Linked DNA regions of Caenorhabditis elegans. The protein of the gene in region 2 purifies or fractionates together with the protein of the main gene of each other region. This does not show direct contact. Each region holds a gene or a part of one and is shown on either strand. Other genes may lie near its edges.

Region 1 (4,973 bases), on a different chromosome or scaffold from region 2:
CCGCTTTTTAGTTAAATCAGGCAATTTTTTTTTTGAGCGTATAGACCTTAAAATAGGTTTAAACGAACAAAATTACTGATGAAAATTCGAGAAAAATGGCCTAATCTAGCTAAAATCTCCATTTTCGGCAAGTTTTTAGTCCAACATTGGAGATTTTTAGCTAAAATTAGGCCACTTTTCTCGAATTTTCACCGCGAAATTCGCTATTTTACGATTATTCTATCAAAAAAATCACCTTATCCGTAGTGAGCCTGGCAAAATGCGCATTCTTCTCCTCCTGAGTCATTCGATGCGGCGGCGTCGGCTTCAGGATTCCTTTTGGAGGATCTTCTGGAGCAGCATCCGGCACATCTTCTGGAGCAGCAGCAGCAGCCGACTCCTCTGGCGGATCCTCTTCTGTCAACTGAGCTGGTAGCTGATCACTAGCCTTCGGAATCGGCGTCGAGTAGGTATCCGTCACCTTAACCTGGAATCTTCTCGGCTCCAGCACTGGCGTCTGATGTTCTTGTGGAACTCGTTCCGAAAGTCGGCGAGTCGGTGAGCGGAGCAAGTCCTCCTGAGCCATAGATGGTCTTGGCGCTCTGCTACTAGAAGCTCCTGGTCTCTGCTGAATCACAATCTTTTCCGCGGATCTTTGAGCTGCAGCAGCCGGAAATTGTGGAGCCGCCCGTTGCCGGTTCATCTGCTGAAGCTCCTGTCGTTGCTCCGGAGTCATTCTGTGAGGAGCCACGTCGACAACTCTGCGCGGTGGAGCAGCTGCTGCTGGAGCAACAGGATGCTCAAACTCTTGGGTATCCATCGGACGAGTAACATGGATCGGACGAGCACGATTATTGTTCGCCGCTCCTCCAATCATTCCAGGTCTAGCTTGTGGTGGAACACGACGCATCGGATTAGCTCCTCCAACTGGCACCGCATTCACGATATGCTGATAAGAGCCGGGTGTTGGAGCCGCCGGAGCCGGGACACGTTGCTGTAAGCTTCCACGTGCTCCAGCTTGATGGTACATCTGCTGTTGTTGCTCTCGAACTCTGTTGATCGCGTTGGCGGCCGGCGAGTTTCGTGGTGGAAGTTGCCCGCGCATTGGTAGACCATTTCCAAAATCGTTCATGACGCGATATTGCGGACCATCTCGGACGACGCTGAAAATTGAGATTTTTAGTGTTTTTAAAAGGCTTTTTCGGGCTTTTAAATGTGGAGTAGCGCCAGTGCGGAAATTGCTTTAAAACACGCCTATGGTACCACAATGACCGAATATCATGATAAAAAATTCAAAGAAATTTTCTAGATTTCAAATGATTTTTTTTGAAAATTGAAAAAATCTCAGTTTTCCCCTAATTCCTATTTGAATTTCCGCCAATTGGATTTGTTCGTTGGAGCGCGCTTGAACGTTTTTAAATTTATTTATTTTAAAATTTTTGTTATTTTCCACCGATTTTTAATGTTTTCCGTGTACTTTTGCTCGAATTTTAGAGAAAAAGCCAAGATAAATGCAAATTTTCGATTAAAAAGCACGCTTACAGGCGTAAAAATGAAAAAGTAACGCTTTTAAACGATTTCGAACCTGAATTAACTAATTGCATTCTAATTTCAGGCGTAAATCAGTGCAATTAATTAATTCAGGCTCGAAGTCGTTTAAAAGCGTTACTTTTCATTTTTACTCCTGTAATCGTGTTTTTTAATCGAAAATTTGCATTTATTTTGACTTTTTCTCTAAAATTCAAGCAAAAATACAACGAAAACTTTAAAAATCGGTGGAAAATAACAAAAAATTTAAAAAATAAATTTAAAAACGTGCAAGCGCGCTCCAACGAACAAATCCAATTGGCGGAAATTCAAATAGGAATTAGGGGAAAACTGAGATTTTTTCAATTCTCAAAAAATCATTTAAAATCTAGAAAATCTTTTTGAATTTTTTTTTATCAAGATATTCGGTCATTTTGACCACATAGGCGTGTTTTAAAGCAATTTTCCCACAGGGTGTAGTCCTTTTTCAGGCCTTTTCGGGCTTTTTCAGACTTCTAAGCCTTCTATACCCTCTCTGCTGCATTCTCGAATCCATTCCACCAATTCCACCATACTCCACTTGATTTCCACCGATCGAGAAAGGCTGCGCAGCAACCATCGGCCGATTTTGAATATTATGGCGCACGGGAAGCTGTTGCTGCTGGGGAGCCACTGACGTTGATGGAAGACCACCGCCCGTCTGCTGGTTTCGTCGGTACTGTGTTCCCGGGGATCCCGGGCCGACGGCGTCTTCGGGCATCCATTGCTTGACAATGTTGCAGTCTTCGTCCAGGCCGGCGATACATGGGAACGGGCCTTCTGTCGGGAGAATGATTCGGTCCGCGGGATCCGGCGGATCGTAGTTGTGGTCCTGAAATATACAGAAAATTAAGTTTTGCATTGCAAATATTGATTTAAAACTGGAAAATAGCCTCTAAAATCGAGATTTTTCCCTTACACTATACGGCAACCAGAAGTTCGCCCTCAAAATCGCCTCTTCCACATCAGTATCATCATCGGAATCGATCCAAACTGTGTCTTCAGTCGGTCGTTCGGCTGCCAACTGTTCTTCTTCTGTCAATGGACGAGAATCTGCTGCTGCTGCTGGTTCACCAAAATTATTCGCTCTCTGCTGTGGAGCAACGTAGTTTGGCGGATTGTAGGCCGCCGGTTGAAAGACTGGAATCTGAGGAATCTGCTGCGGCTCGGGGATTTGCGGTTCTTGGTAGAATTCCTGATTCTCCATTTGATGGTCAACTGGGTAATTGTCCGGAGCCTCGTGTGTCGCTTCAGAAGCTTGTGGATCCTCTGAGACTCCTTGAATGGGCTCTGAAAATTTTTTAAACTTAGATTTCGGGCCATTACACAGCAAAATCCTACCTTGAGCCATAACAATTGGCTCGGCGATCTCAGGTTGTTGTTGCTGTAGTGGTGGTTGCTCGAAGAGCTCCTCGTCGGCTGGAAGCGTATGCTCACCGTCTGCCATTTTTCCTTGTCTAGCGACGACGACTTTCTGGCATGCAATACTTGACGAACCTGAAAATTGACAAAATTAAGGTGAGAACAATCGATAAAATTAGAAAAACTATCGAATACGCCAGGAAAAAAATTAAAAGACATGAAAAACCAAAGAAAACGCAGGGAAAAATATCAAAAATCAATAATTTCCGCATGATTGTGGAGAGATGTTTGAAAAAATCGTAGCATGGTTTTATTACGCGTTTCTTCAGATTTTACCTATTTTTTCTATAAAACTAATCATTTCTAAGGTTTTTACATCAAAAAACTGATCAAAAACCTGTCGGAATATTTTTTTCCAGCCGATTTTTCAAAACATTCAAAACCATTTGAATTCTCTAATTTCTGAGGTTTCTGGTCATCAATAAGCAATTCCAACATGATAATTCCATCAAAAATGCTCAAAATTATTGAAAAACTCGAAAAAAAAGAAGAAAGTGGTGGGAAATTCGATGAGAAACGGTCAAAATTTGAACGTCGAGCCCTGTCGTAAATCGAAATCCAGTGACCGCAACGCAGACACGCCGCGTCGCGGTCGATTCTGGCATGATGCCAAGTCGGTCTCGGCGGGAAATACGCAATTGTCAGCGGTGTGTTTGCGGACTTGCACACCGTAGTCTCGTGGGAAAATTGTGAGATTTTTATTTTTTTTTTGCATAAAATCATTTTTAGAGCATTTTTACAGTATTTTCTTCAAAAAAAAACCTCAGTTTTCTATTTATATTGTGTAAATATTGTGTTTTACAGGTAAATATGAGCATAAATGCCGACGTTCTCCGCAATTTCACGGGAAGAACACTCAAATCTTGGAGCGGTTATCAATTGGCACTGGACAACTCGTGTGGCGGAGATGAGACCCGCGAGAAGGACAAGTGGTTTCTGGAGGTGCTCTGCGAGCAATTGACAACGACACGCGGTCTGAAAGCTGAAGAACTCGAGGAGTGGCTCACAAATATCCTGTATCACGATTTCGACCTGATTTTGGACGACGATTCGAGTTATCAAATCGCATTTTTCCTATTAGAAGGCTTCGGTTATATTAAAAACGAGAATGAGGCCGGGATTCAGCAGCTGCTTTCAAGTAGGATTTTTTTTTATTTTAGCAAATTTTTTTAAAAAATAAATCCTGTTTTTCCTACAGAACTCCCTTCCGACGAAGAATTAGAAAAAGCGAAACGAGAATCAGTGCGCGGACCTGAAAACGACGAAGATGACGAAGAAATGGACATTCCAGAGGACGAAGAGGAATCAGAAGAAGGCCCATCAGAGCCACGTGGTCCCCAGCGACAAGTTGTTGTAGACGATGATGGCTGGACGACAATCACCAAAAGACAATAAACTTTATTGATTTTTTTTTCAAAATATCTGAAAATTCTAAATAATCACGTTATTCTTGTTTTCCTGTTGATTTTACTCATTTTCCGCCTGTTTTTGCTTGTTTTTGCCCTGTTTTCTGTGTTTCTTTGTGCCTTTCTCATAAAAAATCCATAGTTTTTTGCAGCTTTATTTGACGAAAAGCGAGGAATTTTGGAAATTCTCCCAGAAATCTCCTGAAAGCCGATTTTTCAACGCAGATGCAAATTGCCACGTGGAATATTCGGGAAAACTCGGATTTTGGAAAAAAAACCACTAGTTTTTCAGATTTTTCAGGCCCCCAGGCAAGCTAAAACGCCATTTTTCATGGAATTCGACTATTTTGTCTTGTATAACAAAGAAAAATTCGCACGCGCATGCACGAACAAATTTAATTATTTTTCGTGTTTTGTTACCCCGCGGCGGAGGCGGCGGCGGTAAATAACTAGAAAAGATCAGAAATCGCCGAAAGTTCTCACATAGTTCACATTATTATTTTGCAACGAAAATATTTTATAAATATTCATTTTCTTCGAAAAAACCTGCAGGAATTGATAAAAAGCCCGAAAAGTGCGCTGGAATTCTGAAAAAAAAAT
Region 2 (5,684 bases):
TTCAAAAAAAGACAACTTCTTGTAATTTTTGAGAATGCGTATTGAACAACATATCCGACGCGCAAAATATCTTGTAGCAAAAACTACAGTAATATGACTACTGTAGTGTCGATTTACGGACCCGGATTTTTGAATTGTTTGAATAGTGATAGAAGAAAATTAAATATCGCTGTCACTATTTAAAAATAAATTCAATTCGAAAATCGAGCCCGTAAATCGACAAGAATTTTCGCTACGAGATATTTTGCGGGTCAGTTATGTTGTTCAATAAGCATTCTCAATATTTAACCATCTTAATCATGAAACTTCAAAATCGGAAGAAAAAAGTATATTCTAATATTCAAAAAAATCTTCAGTCTTCCTCTTCTTTCCAGTCTGGCACGTGGAATGCGAGATGGAATAGTTTTGGGGGCACGCAGACATTATATCAAATCTCGATAGGCTAAAAATGGCGGGGAGTTGGAAGAGAAGAAGAATCTGGAAAAATATGAATGTGGGGGGCTATTGAAAAGAAAATGAGAATCATATTCATTAGAATAGTTGGGAAACAACTAAACGGAAAATTGAACGATAATGGAATGCGAAATGTGGAAGTCGTCAGAAAACGTGAGATTAACGTGAACAAAATATGGATCTCCACGATTTCACAAAAACATAATGGTGGGGCTAGCTTTGGAAAATAATGAACAATGTATAAAATTATTGAAGTTATATCGGTGTATTGAAGATCGTCTGGGATGGAACACATGATGAAGGAGATCAGTCTATTGATTCGCTCCAACTCCGTCGTCGGCGGCGAGAGATCGGCGATAGTAGTCGTTGGAGGCACCTTGATAATCAGACGATCCTCTGTAGTACTTCCCGTGATTCTTATTCAGGAACACAATCAAATCGTGAACTCCAATCATGATGCGCTGAAAATTGATTTATTTTATTTTTGGAGCATGGGACTACGCTCAGTGGGGAAATTGCTTTAAAACACGCCTATGGTACCACAATGACCGAATATCATGATTAAAAAAATTCAAAAAAAAATTTCTAGATTTTATATGATTTTTCGAAAATTGAAAAAATCTCAGTTTTCACCTAATTATTTTTGAATTACCGTCAATTGGATTTGTTCGATGGAGCGCGCTTGCATTATTTTCATTAATTAATTTTATTTTTTCTCGTTATTTGGCTGGTTTTCTTCATTTTCTATGCTTTTAAAAAGGACAAATGCGAAATGTTTGTTAAAAAGTAATTGAAAATGAGTAAAACTGTGAAATATACTAATCTCAGGCTTGTCGGAACTCAGAATATCACAGTTTTACGCATTTTCAATTACTTTTTAACAAACATTTCGCATTTGTCCTATTTATTTCTTTCATTTTCCGAGGAAAAAACATAGAAAATGAAGAAAACCAGTCAAATAACGAGAAAAAATAAAATTAATTAATGAAAATAATGCAAGCTCGCTCCATCGAACAAATCCAATTGACGGTAATTCAAAAATAATTAGGTGAAAACTGAGATTTTTCCAATTTTCAAAAAATCATATAAAATTTATAAAATTTTTTTGAATTTTTTATCATGATATTCTGTCATTGTGGTCCCATAGGCGTGTTTTAAAGCAATTTCGGGCTCCTGAATTCACGGAAAATCGTTTTTTTTTGCTATTTTTTATTTATATTAATGTTGAGAAAAATGATACGCATTGAAAAAATGTAAATTTTGGAAATTTGGCCTCAAACTGGATCGAAACCGTCAGTTTTTCGATTTCAGGATCGTAAAATATTCAATTTTGTGGAGAAAACGCAGATTCACAAAAAAAAATTGATTTTTAAAATTAAACAAGGCAATTTCCCCATTTTTCAATTTTAAAAATCAATGTTTTGTGAATCTGCTTATTCCCTACAAAATGGGATTTTTTATGATCCTGAAATCGAGAAAATTGACGGTTTCGATCCAATTTTCGGCCTAATTTTTCCAAATTTTACACCTTTTCGCCAAAAAAAAACAGATTCCGTGTGGAAACCAGATTCAGGAGACGCTCCAGGAGTTGAACTTCGAACATACGTTAATAACATGATCATTCCATTGAGTGAGCTTCAGGTAGTCCGGGAGCTTTGCGAGCATTCTCAAGAAATGCACAATTCCGTACTCTTGAGATGGACGGAATCCACTATCCTGCAGGGCGGTCGGGTTTGTGATGTCGATTCCCTTCTCCATAGCTCGCTTTTTGACAAGGTCATTGTACTGTGGCCGCTCGAACTTATAGAGCAGTTGGTAGCTGGAACTAAACAATTCATCCTTACATCGTAACTGTTTCAAGTGGGATTGGGGCGACTATTCTACGAAGCGGAGGGCATTATGTGTACTCACTGCTACTTTTATCGAACGAGGGACGAGGAAAAGCGGTTTCTAGGCCATGGCCGAGGGGCCGACAAGACTTAGCGGCAATTTATCTTGCTTTGTTTTCCGCGTGTTTTCTTTTGTTTTTCAAAAAAATTTTCCGTTTTTTCTTATTAAAACTAAATAAAAGATAAATAAATATTTTTGTAGATGCCAAAACAATTTCCAGGTGAAAAAATTGTGTATTCAGTCGGCAAGAAGCGGTGAAAGTGGTCAATGTTATATGATGGATTACGGTAATACTAAACCTAATCGTTTTTCTGAAACATGGCATTTATTCTGCTTAGAGACTGAAACTATTCGATTTTCATAACGAGACCGCTCAAAAAGTTCTGAGATTTTTGCACAAAAAGTTGAATTTTGAAAATCTCAAATCTTTTTCAGCGGTCTCGTTATGATGAAAATCGGGTAGTTTCAGTCTCTAAGCAGAATATATACCATGTTTCAGAAAAGGTTTAGATTTAGTATTCCCGTAATCCATCATATAACATTGAGCACTTTCACCGCTACTTGCCGACTGAATACATAATTTTTTCACTTGGAAATTGTTTTGGCATCTGCAAAAATATTTATTTATCTTTTATTTAGTTTTAATAAGAAAAAAACGGGAAAAGTCTATGAAAAATTAAAGAAAACACGCGGAAAACAAAGCAAGATAAATGGCCGCTGAAACTTGTCGGCCCCTCGGCCATGGGCTAGAAACCGCTTTTCCTCGTCCCTCGTTCGAAAAAAGTTGCAGTGGTACTAAACATTGGGCTACGTGCAATTTGCATGCATCTGTTTAACATATTCGAATTAACCAACCCCAAAGTGACATTAAAATAGTCGACGAGTCCACGCGCGGTGCAAATCAGAGCCAAATTCGTGATTTTTATATCAGCTTCCTCGTATTCGATGAGCAGATCATCGACCGTTCTCATTTGCTCATTACTGACCGGAATGGTTTTGATGTACTGAAAATGTTGGATTTGAAAATCGGAAAAAATGATATTTTAATTTTTTTTATGCTTACGTCCTCGATGATTTGATCAACTGAATACTCGTGTGGCACGATGTTTATGAAATAACGGCAGACAAGATCGTAGTCATCGATCAGGATCTTTCTCAGTGGCTTCGGAAGCTCGACCTTCATATCGTCGGCGGTCATAACCGGCGCAATTGTCACCGATTTCGCCTTTTTTCCCTTCGACGTCCCCGGAGTGTCATCACGATCGTCTCGTGGTGCTTCAGCCGCAAGACTTTTCTTCTTCGGCTTCAATGCAGTTGTTGGCAGCTCTGCGTTGTGTTTCTCTGCATACTCCGAGGCTGTTCCCTTGAAAATGCGGTCTTTCTCCTCGCCGACTGGGATTTTCTCATCGTATCGATTGTTCCAGCCCTTGAAGTGAACGCAGTAGAGTTCCTTGCCATCGCTGTTGGTTTTGATATCAGTAATTTTGGCATCGTATGGTTTGCCTTTGTAGATGCACGCGACGTTCTCGCCGACTTCGAAGTTCTTCTTTGAAGACATCTGAAGGAATTAAAGAAATTAATCGATTAATTGGTGTTTTAAGCGAGTTTTAGCAGCAATTCTAGCCAATGATGTATATTTGAACGATTTTTAATCAAAAAATAGATTAAAAATATCGAAAATTCGATAAATTTATCGATAAAAACAAAAAAAAAGCTTTTCTCAAAGCTCAACGGCATTTTCGCAATTCAAACCCCCCTGCGGCGCGGTTTTCTAAGCAAATGCAATAGCGCCGCGCACGAAAAAGTACGCAAACACCACGACGCAATAATGCAGACTTCCAATTTTGAGACGTCACCACTAGCTTTTTGCTCATTTCTTTTGGGTTTTTTTGGATTTCTATTCAATTTTTATTCTCAAATATATTAATTTTCAGATGACGGACGAGCCGGTGAAAGTTGTGAACAAATGGGACGGTCCAACAGTGAAGAATGCCCTTGATGAAGTCGTCAAAAAGGTTTGCTCTCCGAAACTCCAAAATTAAAATTAAAATTAAAATCTTTCGTTTCAGATTCTGAACGACAAAGTCGGATGGACGGAATCGCATAATCTAATGAATCTGCGTCTTCTCATCTCATTCATCGGCGTCGCGTTCTCCGCGTTCGCCTGCGGCTACGACTACTACGAGCCGTTCCCAAAGTCGAAAATCGTGCTCGCCGTGTGCTCGGTTTCCTACTTCATATGCATGGGAATTCTTCAAATGTATCAGTGGTACGTCGAGAAGGACTGCATCTACGAGGCCACCGAAGTCGACGGAAAACAATCGAGAAAATGGGCGTGGAGCTCGGAGATCAAGGCTCACGACGATAAGTACACGCTGTCGGCCGAGTTTAAGAAGGAAGGACGCTCTGGACAGGGAAAAATCACGAAATCTATCGGAGCTTATATCGATAACGATGGAGAGATCATCGTGCCACTTGTGAAGAAGGAGGTCGACGACTTGTACAACCGCTTGATTCGTAGCGAACAATAATTTATTTAATTTATCTGGTTTTCTTGGCCTAATTTATTTCCCCTTTTCTTCGCTTTTCATGGGTGCCCCTTTCTCTCTCCATCTATCCTGTTTCTTGTCTGTCAAAAGCTAATATTTCCAGCATTTTATACAATATGAACTTGTCAATTTCGGTAAGAATTCATTGTACAAATAGCTTGAAAAGAACAATTAACAAACACAAAATTTTAGCAATTTAACAATTTATTAGCAGATCCCATCTACTTCTTCATCTCGAGCATCTCTGCGTACTTCGCGGCCGAGCCCTTGAACAATCGACCCTGCTCCTCGCCGACTGGAATTTTCTCATCGTAACGGCTGTTCCATCCTTTGAAGTGAACGCAGTAAAAATCCTTCCCATCAGTGTCGGTTATGATGTCAACGATGTACGCGTCATATGGCTTTCCGTTCTGTGTGCACGTGACTTGCTCACCGATTATGAATTGTTCTCTACGTTTTCCGACTAGCCGCGGAGCGTTCTCTTTCGTCGCTTGAGGCTCTGTGGATTTTTCATGGTTTCTAGCGGACTGAAAATGCAAAATTTATTATTTAAAGCTTCAATATTCTCTGAGCAGTACCTTGCGCATTGTGACAACTGGAGCTCGGTAACCATCTGCTATCCCTTTAAAAATACGGTCTGTCTCCTCGCCGATTGGAATTTGCTCATCGTAACGATTGTTCCATCCTTTGAAGTGAATGCAGTAGCACTCCTTTCCATCCTTGTCGGGCTTGATGTCGGTGATGACCGCGTCATATACTTTTCCCTTGTAGGTGCATGCGACTAGCTCGCCG
Region 3 (4,928 bases), on a different chromosome or scaffold from region 2:
TGATCAACACTTGCAGTACCAGTGACGAACTGTACATGTGAGTCATTATCGGCTAAATAACGGAACCATCCATTAGATTGGAATGGTAACTCAATGAGCAGGACATCACTCCAGATGAATAGAGATGTGGTTCCGCGTACGATACGCCATTCTTTCCAACGATAAGGTGTTCCCTGGCTCAATACTGTCTTTGTTGGTTTCTTATCAACTGCGGCAGCTGATTTATCGAGACTGGCAACACTACTCAATTTGGATACCACTTGAAGAATAGCTGAAGATGCTGTTGAACTGGCTGTTGCTTTTGGTTTAGAAATAGATTGCTGTGTGGATGACGAAGGAGTTGATGATTCTGGATCAGCCATCTGAAAAGTGAAATTCCGAAAAATTCTTACTCAAACTGTTAAATAGAAAAGGAAACTATCAAGTTGTAAAAACCACACCTCAATTGTAGAAGGATTCGAGTTTGATTCAGCGTCGGCTCCACCAGAAGAAGATGGAACAGTGGTATCCATGATGTCGTTCGCCGTAGGAACAGCTGTTGATGACGAGGGTTGATTCTCAAAGTCAATTTCCATGGGTGTAACTCTAGATCTTCCCTCCAAATGAATTGCATTCAAAACTTCCTCCAATCCCTTTGGTGGCTCTTTTGCCATCGCCTCGACACGTTCAAACACACCAAGTCGCACCAATTCAATAACCCAGAGTTCGGCATCTTTTTCCAAAAGAGATTCCAGAATAAGAAGCACTTGTTCGTGACCCTCATGATCATCTTCTTGATCCATTACAGAAACGACAACAGCTACCAAAGATTCAGCACCAGCAGACACATCTGTAGACATTTTTCGTGCGGACTGTGCAGCTGGAGCATTGCCATCTCCCACGGCGCTTTGACGAAGATCTCCAATGTTTTCCACAATTTTTCGCATCAGAGACAGTGATGTGCGACGAACACTTCCGTTGAGAGACTTTTGGAATATCTCACAGAATATTGGAAGAAGTTGATGCAAAACTTTGCGAACAAGGTTTGGATTTGGAAGCTCAGGTTTCGTTGAAGTACCTGGCTGTTTCGACGTTGATGCTTTCACCTTCGGATCTTCTTCTGAAAGAAAAGTATTTGTTGAAGACCAGAACAATGTAGACTTACTATTTCTCATGAATGCGCTAGGCGATTCAAGAATGTTGGCGACTTGATTGTGATCATCATCAGATCTTTCTCGTGCCTTGTCCAAAGCTGTCTTGCCATCTTCGTCTCGTAGATCAGGATTGGCGCCACGCTGAAGCAGCAATTTCACAACCTGAGATAAACAATGCTCACTCCGGGAAAACAAGTCACGACTACAATATGATTATCTAACGTGTGAGTGTGCAATAACAGCTCATAACATTTTCCTACTGAAGCAAGTATGTATTGTAATAAAAATGAGCGAGTGCACGTATCACACGAAAGACATTCGCGTCGCAACTCACATCCGGCCGTCCAAAACAAGCAGCATAGTGCAAAGAACTGCTCTTGTGCCCCTTATTGACATCGGACCCCTTATCACACAAATACTGTACCATTTCGATCGAGCCAAACGCAGACGCCCAATTAGTCAGTGATTGTCCAACATCATCAGCAAAATTCACATCAACCTTAATTTTTTTAAATTTTTATGTGATCAAATATAGCTATGTTACCTGTCCACTTTCGATGGCATCCACCAAAGCAGTCAAATCTTTCTGTCTGATGGCGTCAATCAATTGTCTATGAACACGTTCAGCTCCACTACCTGCTGCATAATCACCTGATACTACTGAAGTGAGGGGAAGAGCACTACGTCCTTCACAAAGAAGAACTAAAAGAAGATCACAAAATCGAAGACCATCTGTTACCACTCGTTCTTCTTTGTTTGTAAGAGTAGCTTTGAGGCCAGTAATCATGTTAGGCGATGTGAGCACTTTTTCTGTAATAAGGCTGGAACCTCGGCACAAATTTCCAATCAAAGAAAGAACAATTGAGAGAATATTGGCAGAAGCAGTGGTCGGAGAGTTTTCGTCGTTTGAAGCAACCATAATTGATATCAAATGTTCGACAAGATTGCTATGCATTGCTAGCTCTGCTGGATCCATCATTTTACGAACAAAGCGATCAGTAAGCGCGGCGAAACATCTGAGAGCACTTTCCGACACCTGAAGCAGACTGATTTTATGTGAGGCAAATGAAAATGTGGGAATTTTAGTAACAAATAAAATACAAACCTTCGGGTCTTCATGTTCAAGGAGAGCTCCAAGACTTTCTGCACATTTTCCCAATTCTGGATCAGTTGGTTCCATTTTACCACATAATCGTGTCACTACTGACATTGCTGAATGCATCGTGTCTTTGTGAACTTGTGTTCCATGTACTCTAACTAAAGTGAGCATTGCATTTATTCCTCCTGCATCATAGACTGCCATTGTTTCACGTTGACACACATGTTCCAATAGTTTGACACATTGTTCAGCTGAAAATTTCAAAAATAATTTTGACAGCCTGAAAAATACACTTACCCAGATCTTTACTTGATCTATCTGAAATGTCTGCAGCGGCAAGACGTGTGCAGATAGCCTTCACGGCTCCGTCGACTTGTGTGATGCGACGAGTGCATTCATTTGACACGTCCAGATAATAAGTGATTGCGCGAGCAGTTACTTCGAGCACATTATCAGGTGCTGTTTCATCGATGAAAATTTTGCATAGTGCTGGAATAAATGTTCGTGGTGGGCATGATTCGAAGCATCGATCAATATTGTCAGCCATCAGAAGAAGCATGCATAGTTGTTCAAGAGCCATTAATTGAAGATCCCGTTCATCGCCAATACCCGTTTGGAGCCACTCGAGGAGTGTTTCCGGATCTATTCCGTCCATTTTCCTTAAGAAAAAAAAATATTTATACACAGTGTATTCGTACTTACCTTTTTCCCAATCAAAAGCGAAGCGAATATTGAAGCATATACTTATAAAAAATGTTTCTCCCAAGAATTCGAAAGAAGGTTAAATGTGGCTCTACCCAATTTCTGAAAATAACTTATGAGCAAGTGTAATTGGACTGGAATAATAATCGAAATGAAAAAATCGATAGGAAACGGGCGTTCAAAATCTGTTTAATAGTACGAAAGTCCCTAAATATAAAGTGTTGTGTGAAAAAGTTCCGGATCGTTTGAAAATCAATAATTTAGAAACTTTTTTTTTTCTTAAAAAACGAGCTTAAAACATCACTATTTAATTATGATTATTTGATATTAACTTTCGTTTTTCACAGAGCTTCGATCTTATCGATTAGTCAGAAATCAACAGAGAACAACGAATCACATAAAATCTGGCGGGAAGAAACGAGTAGAGGTGTGGAGGAATCGACGACGGCGGTGCGAACGTCACTATACACATTTTGTCGTTGGGGCGCATTTGCACAAATAACTCGGGGGCAAACGTGACATAGATTTTTGCAGAAGAGAGGCGGCTAGAGTGGAAAAAACTAACTTGCGAACAACTATAGATGGATGAAAGTCACAAAAACGTTCGACGAACCGTATAATACTTGTCTATTTGATAAATGTTTCACCTGACACAAATTTTGTAGAAATGAGAGACTTTTAACGATAGAATGAGTTACTTAAAAGCCCTCAAACCGCAAAAATTCAGCCAAAGGACTAACATGATTCTGCAAGAGAGGAGATCAGTCCTTGAATCCTCCGCTCCAGATATTGCCAAGCTCCGTAAATTGTCTCAAGAGGCAAGAAGATCGATTACAGAAGACCTCACTCAAAAGTACGACTCGATTCTTGAAGCTTGTCGGAAGAAAAGATCTTCAAAAATATTGAAGAAATCCATCCCTGCCGAAATCCCCTTGCAATATCTCGAAAGGCCTGACGGATCTCTCACGGCCAACCGCATCGAAATCCGAAAAATCGTCGAATCTCACTTCAAATCACTATACGAGGCTCCCACGAACTCTCCACGTCAACCACAAAATCCTAATCCTCCGAGTCTTGATCCCGTCCCAGCCATTCTCAAGTGCGAAGTACGTCAGGAGATCAGGAAACTCAAGACCAAATCTGCTCCAGGTCTCGACAAGGTGGATGCGGCGATGCTCAAAAATGGAGGGGACACTGTAGTGGACTCAGTAACTGCTCTGTTCAACAACATCCTCCAACACAACAAGGTCCCTGATCTTTGGAAAATATCGGATGTCAAACTGATACCGAAAAAGGCCAAAGCCACTAAGATCAAAGACTTCCGACCAATCTCGCTCCTCCCCATTCTGAGCAAAATGTTCTCGAGCATTCTGACCAGAAGGCTGACACCATCCTTGGAGAGCTACCTGGACGAAAGTCAAAACGGCTTTAGAAAAGGGAGATGCTGTGCTGACAACATTCAAAGCCTCACCATGCTTATCGAAAAGTGCAACGAATTCCAGCTCCCACTCCTTCTCCTATTCATTGACTACCAGACGGCTTTCGACAAAATCGGCCACTCGGCTGTGGTTTCCAGTCTCGAGAAAGCAGGAGCCGATCCCGCCATGCGCAAGATGATTCAGGAAATGATGGAAGGAGGACAAGCTGAGATCTCAGTGCACGATAAGAAGCTCAAAGTCAACCTCCGCACCGGGGTTCGTCAAGGAGACTCAGCTTCTCCAGCTCTCTTCAGTGCTGCTCTCCAAGCTATTCTGACGGATTGCGACAATGAGTTCGCGGGAGTTGGCATCAAAGTGGAAGGCAGACACATAAGAAGACTGGAATTTGCGGACGACGTAGTCCTGATATGCTCCACACCGGAAGAAGTTCAAGAACGACTGGAAATTTTGGACCGAATAAGCTCAATTTACGGACTCAAGATCAATCAGTCAAAGACTGTTCTTTTGAAGAACAAGTTTTGCCGGAGCCAAGACGTCTTTTTCAACGGATCCCCC

The links.
Region 1: the proteins of mrg-1 (region 2) and set-26 purify together in Caenorhabditis elegans (affinity purification with mass spectrometry, with the first as the bait; 2 studies listed by BioGRID). This does not show direct contact.
Region 3: the proteins of mrg-1 (region 2) and hecd-1 purify together in Caenorhabditis elegans (affinity purification with mass spectrometry, with the first as the bait; 2 studies listed by BioGRID). This does not show direct contact.

Annotation. Positions count from the first base shown.
Region 1 is NC_003282.8:16,652,842-16,657,814, forward strand, and holds the start of set-26 (Histone-lysine N-methyltransferase set-26), read right to left. Parts: upstream 3,043-4,973; 5' UTR 2,993-3,042; coding exon 2,887-2,992; intron 2,836-2,886; coding exon 2,465-2,835; intron 2,378-2,464; coding exon 2,037-2,377; intron 1,143-2,036; coding exon 236-1,142; intron 1-235. Other genes in the region: tsr-2 (Pre-rRNA-processing protein TSR2 homolog), read left to right, coding at 3,778-4,105, 4,166-4,362. UniProt on the Caenorhabditis elegans protein: Histone methyltransferase that mediates trimethylation of 'Lys-9' of histone H3 in vitro. Involved in transcriptional regulation. Plays a role in the negative regulation of lifespan and in heat resistance.
Region 2 is NC_003281.10:12,870,754-12,876,437, forward strand, and holds mrg-1 (Mortality factor related protein 1), read right to left. Parts: upstream 3,902-5,684; coding exon 3,407-3,901; intron 3,348-3,406; coding exon 3,199-3,347; intron 2,279-3,198; coding exon 2,059-2,278; intron 915-2,058; coding exon 765-914; 3' UTR 521-764; downstream 1-520. Other genes in the region: spcs-2 (Signal peptidase complex subunit 2), read left to right, coding at 4,278-4,358, 4,413-4,874; cec-7 (Chromo domain-containing protein), read right to left, coding at 5,114-5,419, 5,471-5,684. UniProt on the Caenorhabditis elegans protein: Protein involved in the remodeling of chromatin thereby regulating various processes including transcription, chromosome synapsis and genome integrity.
Region 3 is NC_003282.8:7,141,678-7,146,605, forward strand, and holds the start of hecd-1 (E3 ubiquitin-protein ligase), read right to left. Parts: upstream 3,043-4,928; 5' UTR 2,935-3,042; intron 2,892-2,934; 5' UTR 2,888-2,891; coding exon 2,530-2,887; intron 2,484-2,529; coding exon 2,239-2,483; intron 2,170-2,238; coding exon 1,678-2,169; intron 1,633-1,677; coding exon 1,468-1,632; intron 1,296-1,467; coding exon 1,145-1,295; intron 1,100-1,144; coding exon 441-1,099; intron 363-440; coding exon 1-362. UniProt on the Caenorhabditis elegans protein: E3 ubiquitin-protein ligase which accepts ubiquitin from an E2 ubiquitin-conjugating enzyme in the form of a thioester and then directly transfers the ubiquitin to targeted substrates.